2 linked regions of the Macaca fascicularis genome follow. The protein of the gene in region 1 purifies or fractionates together with the protein of each later gene. This does not show direct contact. Links are inferred from orthologs where the notes say so. Each region holds a gene or a part of one and is shown on either strand. Other genes may lie near its edges. The genes, in order: SDHAF1 and SDHB.

Region 1 (3,286 bases):
CCGCCCGTCTCGGCCTCCCAAAGTGCTGGGATTACAGGCTTGAGCCACCGCGCCCGGCCTCTAGGACATGTATTTTTGATAGACATACATACACCCGACAGGCAGGATTCACAGTGGTTTCTGATTCTCCCTTGACTCCGAAACTCCAAGCCTAATCTCCGCCCCTGACCAGCTTCTCCTCTCTGAAGAGGAACGGACCCCCAGCTGGCTGCCGGCCCAAGTGTGTGAGCCGCAGTTGCACGCTGGGTGGAGGGGTCTGGGGTTGTCACCGAGCGGTCCCCCAAGCTCCGGTGCTGGTGGGGCCTGAGGATGCTGTGTCCTTGCGGGCCTCCCTGGCGCTACCAGGACGCCTCCAAGCGGCCCGCGGGGACAACAACGGCATTGCGGCCTACGACCTGAAGCTCCTGGGAGGACAACGGGCTGCCAGTCTAGTCCACTGTTCAGGGCGTCCCAGACTCCCGGCTTTAACAGTCCGTGAGGACCCAAACACCGCTGCCCAGTGCCCCGACTCCCACCTGCAGAGGGCGCGACCAACCCAGCTCCTAGAGCCACACGCTGCCTCTGGGGGCTTGGCGCCCACACCCCCTCTGCTTGTCTTCCCCTAGCACGGAGAAGCCTGTCCAACCGGCCGAGAGCCATTTCCCTACGGGGCCTCGTCCCTCTGCACGTGCCTAGGGCTGGGACCCCAGACACAGACCTGCCCCGGACGAGGGAACGCACGGAGATTCCCGAGATGGTTTCAATCAGTAACTGACGGCAAGAGCACGCTTGTGCCCAGTGTCTCTCCCAGTGCTCCACGCCGTTGGGACCCAAAGTCCGAACCCGTAGCAGGCCGCAGTGGCTCACGCCTGGAATCCCAACACTTTGGGAGGCTGAGAATCGTTTGAGCCCAGGAGTTCGAGGCCATCCTGGGCAACATAGCGAGACCCCATCTCTGCAAATAATAATAATAATAAAATAGGGGGCGCGGTTGCGCGCACCTGTGGTTCCAGCTACTCGGGAAGTTGAGGTGGGAGGATCGCTTGGGCCCAGGAGTTCGAGGCTGCAGTGAGCCAAGATCGTGCCACTGCACTCCAGCCTGGGCGACAGAGTGAGACCCCGTCACAAAAAAAACAAACAAAAAAACAAACCCTAGCTTCCTCTTCTCCCAGAACGCAGGAGTTAGGTCAGGACTCTCTGTTCCCTCCGACCCAAGACCTAGGAGTCCGAACACATAGCGACCTCCTCCTACGACACGCAGGTGCCAGGATCCCCAGAACTGCTGTCCCTTCAAGAACACGTGTTCCCTACAGGGGAGGCCGCGACCAGAGACTCCGCCCACTTCTCCCAGCCCGCTGTGGTGCAACAGCAACGACAGCCAATCAGACGCGGCAGCGCCGGATGGCGGGAGGCGGGAGTTGGGGGCCAAGGGAAGCGCAGGGCGGAAGTGGCTGTGGCTTTGCCCTTTGGCCTTGGCTCGCTGTGTGGCGGCTCGGCGGTTAGCAGGGAGTTCGCTGAGCGTCTCTGCCTAGCCGCGGTCATGAGCCGGCACAGCCGGCTGCAGAGGCAGGTTCTGAGCCTGTACCGCGATCTGCTGCGTGCCGGACGCGGGAAACCGGGCGCCGAGGCGCGAGTGCGGGCCGAGTTCCGGCAGCACGCGGGCCTGCCGCGCTCCGACGTGCTGCGCATAGAGTACCTGTACCGCCGCGGGCGGCGCCAGCTGCAGCTGCTACGCTCGGGCCACGCCACCGCCATGGGCGCCTTCGTACGCCCGCGGGCCCCGACCGAGGAGCCTGGCGGCGTGGGTTCCCAGCCTGACGACGGCGACGGTCCAAGGAACCCCCACGACAGCACGGGGGCACCGGAGACCCGGCCCGACGGACGGTGACTGGCGAAGAGCCGAACTCGCTCGATGGCGTGGTGGAGCCAGGAGGCTCGCCTGACTGCGTGGGGGGCCTGGGGAACCCGCCTAAGGTGAGAGATCTCGAGAGACTAGCTCGACGAATTGGGGATGTCAGAGACTGCCCCTTGGCGACGCAGGGGGCCTAGAGAGCCTCATGATGGACGGCAAGAGAGGCCCACCTTTTCCGGTGCTTGGAGACAGGTCGGCGCTCCTCCCGTATGAGGGCTTGGGGCGGCCTGGGACGCCGGCGGGCTGGACAGTGTCAAGCCGAGAGCTACTTGCCCGAAGGTACGGGGAGCCAGGACGCCCCCTGCTGGACAGGGAGAGCCTGAGACACCCTTCTCTTGACCCCTGAGAACACACCCACCTCTGGCTCCTCGAGTCTCCCCTCTCCTATATTTAACTCTGAGAAGTGCAGACTTTTTGCTGAGAAAGTATTGGGAAGGTTCCCTGATCAAGCGGTGAGAAGCCCGGAATCCCCTTTGGGAAAACTTTCCCCCATTAATTGTGACAAGCCAGGACCACGAGGAAGGGGCTAGCGGTCTGTCACCCTGGTTGATCAACTAAAGGGCCCTACTTGATGGTTTTGAGGGGCAACGTTGACTCATTTGCCCCTTCCCTCTCAGAATGTTGGACAAAGGGAATAAAATTGGGGATATGTCTACTTTCCTGTTGGTGGTCTTAAAGCTTTTATATATTTGAGGATTTTTGAAACACCCCCCCCCCCCCCACCACCACCACCGCACACACACACAGACACCTGGAAGGGACCATCTGGGAGGTAATAGGTGTGGGAATCTGACTCCCTCCGGAGTCCTCTAGACTGGCACATTGATTGAAGCAGCATAGTTCTCTCCCCTGGGCAGATTTGTGGAGGGGGTTCATCCTGGCTTAACCCCCAAAGATACCCCAGTTGGCTCCCTAATGGAGGGCAAGTTGTTTAACATCTTTGTGTGGGACAGGAAATGGTGGAGCTGAGAACTGGCTCAAAGCCTCTGAGGCAGTAGTGGGGGTCTCAGACCTGGAAATTTCTCAAACACAGCTGAAGGGTCCAGCCTCAGCTACAATGAACGACAAGGCCTGGGGCAGGGGAGGGGAGATGAACCCCATAGATCACAGGTATACTCCCTCCTGTGTCCCCATATGGGCCTGCCCTAGACATTCTGTGGAGGGATGCAGTTTGCATCACTGAGCTGTATTTGCACCCATGTCAGTTAAGTAAGTGGAAATGAGTTCTTGTGGATGTAGCTGTGGGGAGGAGGACCACAGGTAAGGAGCATAGACCTCAGACCAAAGGGAGGATGGATGGAAGAGAAACAGTCGCTGTCCTAATCCTAGTGGGGGAGCCACATGCCCAAATGGTTATAAAGTAGAATTGGAATTTGAAGAATTAATTGCCAGGAT
Region 2 (3,813 bases), on another chromosome or scaffold:
CACTCCCACCAGCCGTCTGAACAGCTGAACCAAATAGATTTGGTTGAAGACTCATGGTTCAGTCACAACCATCGGTTCTGTCTCATCTGTTCTCAACTGTCACCTCAGGTGTCAGTGGGCCCCTTTCGTTTTGCTGCTTTTAATCCATTTCTGTTGTTTCCAAACTCAGAAAGCCCGGTTTGTGTTTCGGACTTGTTGGGCAGATTGAGCCAGTGTGACAGGTGTGAAAGTGCAGGAAGCCAGAGCCAGCTGCCGGGGCCACATCCTGATTCTGCTGCCTACAGTGGCACGTCCCTGGGCACATGGCCTAACTCACTCTCTGTGCCTTGGTCTTTACCTGTAAGTGGAACTTGCTGGACTCACCTCACAGGATTACTGTGATGATCAGTTGAGGAAAGTGTGTAAGGCTCAGGGCTCTCCGTCAGGATTGGCAGTGGCAGTCACTGGGGATGATGTTGAGGTTTCCAGTGAAAACCTGAGGGCCCTTCTGCTGAGCCCAGGGCAGAAGCAGCTATAGACTTCTGCTGTTTCAGCCCCCGGGCTTTTGAATCTCTCCCCTCTTGACCGCATTCCAGGAAGTTGGAATTGATGGGAGTTGTTTTTGTGTTCTTGTTTTCTATTTCTTTTTTAGACAAGTGAGAGGTTCTTGTTTATTGAAGGGAAAGTGCACTATACGTGGACTTAAGAACCCTGGGCAGATGTTTACATTTCACTTGCAAGATCTTTATTAATCTGCTAAATATCTGCAAATCACACCTTGGATTTTGCCAAGAAAATTCACATGCAAGCAGGCATTTTATTCATGCACTGACCCCAAAGGTCACATTTAATCAGCTGAAGACATAGCAGAGTCTTTCCCCTCACAAGCTCCTGCCTCTTCTTTCTCCCCATATAGGACGGGCTCTACGAGTGCATTCTCTGTGCCTGCTGTAGCACCAGCTGCCCCAGCTACTGGTGGAACGGAGACAAATATCTGGGGCCTGCAGTTCTTATGCAGGTGAGGTTCCCCTTAATTGCTTTAAGAGAAATTGATACTGAAGCATCCAGAAGTCCAAGAGGACAATAGACAGCTGTAAGCCGGCCATTCTGAGGGGCCTGGTTTCCTTCATTGCCATCCAGTCCAAACAGGCTAATTGGTTGTATTGCATTCACTTGCTTTCGGTAAATCTGGGGCCTTGTCTGCAAATTGCCTTTGTTTCAGTGTGGTAAGAGTCACCCCAAGGGGTGGCAAACCATGCCTTGCAGATGTTTAAAACGTATTTCCGTATGCCTGGTGGTCAGAGGCTCCCCGTCCCCCTCTCATAGGATTTGTAACATAAGATTTGTAGTGTGCAAGCAGGGGAGAAAGCAATGTCTTTGAAGGGCAGCTGCCCAGCTATGAGATTAGAAGCTGTTTCCCAGCTAATGAAAGCCTGGATTTAGGGGTTGCCTAGAAAGAAAATAGTATTGGTGTTCACTGCAAAGAAAGTCACTGTCTTTGTTCCCAGAAAGCTTGTGCTTTTTTAGATGTGTGCTTTTCATAGTGTAAGCAACTCAAAAACCAACTTCTCTTTCTCATTTTCCCACAGAAAGAGAAGTTACAGGTTTGTGTGACCACATGAGCAGTATTGATTCCCAGCCATGTAAAGATTGAATAATGAAGTACGCTTACACTTGTCACTTTACCAGCTGCTCCGAGTTGTTGGGGATGTAGAGGTCCTCTAAGTAACACTGCTAGAGCAGGTCCATGGTCATGTGATTAATTCGTTTCAGCTTCTGATTCAGGCTGCTGAGAGGGCTGTGCGAATTCAAAGAATCGTTAAGTGGGACAAATACTATCTGTAGACAGGTCTGTTAAATCATTCCTTTACTCAGAGACAGCGAGTCCAGCATGGGTAGGTGCCATAAAGACAGATAAGAGGGTTATATGATACAGTCCCTGCCTTCACCAAATTATGAGCTGGGTAGGAAGCTATTAAGCAACATGAAATAATTAGGAGATGATGCCCAGTGTGTATAATGAAGCACCCGGGTACCAGGTGCAGTATGGATCAAAGGTTTGCAGGGACCATTAATCAAGTGGAGCTACACGTGTTGGGAACCTTTCTTTGAAAGATGGACAAGAATTAGAGTGTGGAGATGAGGCATCTAACCTGAGTGAATTGCCTTTCCTGTGCACTCTCAGAGCTTTGAGTTGAGCCAGGGTACCGCTTTGGCCTGTTGATTGGCAGCTCAGCTAATCAGTCCCTGGTTTTCCAGGCCTATCGCTGGATGATTGACTCCAGAGACGACTTCACAGAGGAGCGCCTGGCCAAGCTGCAGGACCCGTTCTCTCTATACCGCTGCCACACCATCATGAACTGCACAAGGACCTGTCCTAAGGTACGTGGGGCTGGTGACCCTCAGCTCTGCCTCAGAGCTGACATGCCAGAGGTAGCATGTGCTCACAAAGAGGCGATTGGTGGAGAGCAACCCTAGTCACTTGAGATGAAAAGGGAGCAGCATGTGCCTGTCCCTTCAGTGTGAACCTAGGGGCTAGTTTGGCTCTTAGTTGCAAGAAGTAGACTGACTCGGGCCAGCTCAGGAGCAGGCTTTATTTGTGGGCTACACAGGGACATTGTGGAGTTAAGGATACACGGGAACCCATGAGCAGGTACCTGCGTTCAGCCTGACTTCATAGGAAACAGAAAGCGAAAGCCATCAGAATGCGGGCAGCTGTGAGGACCACATTTCTTCTCCATCTCTTTCTTGTGATGTTGGCTGCGAATCTGCCGGCTCTCCAGCCGCCTGTTCTTTCCCTCCGCTCTGTGGAGGTTTTCTCTGACTCAAAGCTCTGACTTTCGTTCCTTTTCCTGCTTGCATTTGCTGCTGCTTTTGGCTCACTCTGGCCTGGATTCTGCCTCCCAGCACACTTCCAGCTTCAGCCACCCGCCATCTGCTCCCAGCACTTCTCAGCACAGGTTCCCAAGAGGGTGTCACATTGGCCCAGCTCAGCTTCTCATGCCTGCACATCAGAGGCCACAGCTGGCTACAGACTGGCTGCCCTTTGGCCAGGTTCTGTCTCAGTCTGTTTTGTGGTGCTATCACAGAATTTCACAGACTCGGTAATTTACAAAGAAGTTTATTTGACACACAGTTCTAGAGGCTGGTACCAGCGTCTGACAAGAACCTTCATGCTGTATTACCCCATGGCAAAAGGCAGAAGGGCAAGAGAAAGGGAGCCCAAGCTTATCCTTTTTTTAGAGGTGGAGTTTCACTCTTGTTGCCCAGGCTGGAGTGCAATGGCACAATCTCGGCTCACCGCAACCTCCGTCTCCCAGGTTCAAGCAATTCTCCTGCCTTAGCCTCCCGAGTAGCTGGGATTACAGGCATGCCCCACTCATGCCCGGCTAATTTTGTATTTTTAGTAGAGATGAGGTTTCTCTATGTTGGTCAGGCTGATCTCAAACTCCCGACCTCAGGTGATCTGCCCACCTTGGCCTCCCAAAGTGCTGGGATTACAGGCGTGAGCCACCATGCCCGGCCCTTCTCACCCCTTTTTTTTTTTTTTTTTTTAAAGACAGGGTCTCTGTTGCCCAGGCTGGGGTGCAGTGGCGCAATCATAGCTCACTTCTGCCTGGAACTCCTGGCCTTAAGTGATCCTCCTACCTCCTGAGTAGCTGGGACTACAGGCACACACCACACCTGGCTAATCCAAACTCATCCTTTTATCGGGAACCTACTCCTATGATAATGGCCATCCATTGGTGAGGGCAGAGCCGCCATAACCTAATCACCTCTGAAAGGTCCCACCTCTCAATACCGTTGCAGTGGGGATTAGGTTTTCAACACATG

The links.
Region 2: the proteins of SDHAF1 (region 1) and SDHB purify together in Homo sapiens (co-immunoprecipitation; 3 studies listed by BioGRID and IntAct, with this or other methods). This does not show direct contact. The link is inferred for Macaca fascicularis from reciprocal best matches to the Homo sapiens genes SDHAF1 and SDHB.

Annotation. Positions count from the first base shown.
Region 1 is NC_088393.1:43,235,817-43,239,102, forward strand, and holds SDHAF1 (succinate dehydrogenase assembly factor 1, mitochondrial), read left to right. Parts: upstream 1-1,432; 5' UTR 1,433-1,519; coding exon 1,520-1,867; 3' UTR 1,868-2,544; downstream 2,545-3,286.
Region 2 is NC_088375.1:218,109,277-218,113,089, forward strand, and holds part of SDHB (succinate dehydrogenase [ubiquinone] iron-sulfur subunit, mitochondrial), read left to right. Parts: intron 1-895; coding exon 896-997; intron 998-2,238; coding exon 2,239-2,361; intron 2,362-3,813. UniProt on the Homo sapiens protein: Iron-sulfur protein (IP) subunit of the succinate dehydrogenase complex (mitochondrial respiratory chain complex II), responsible for transferring electrons from succinate to ubiquinone (coenzyme Q).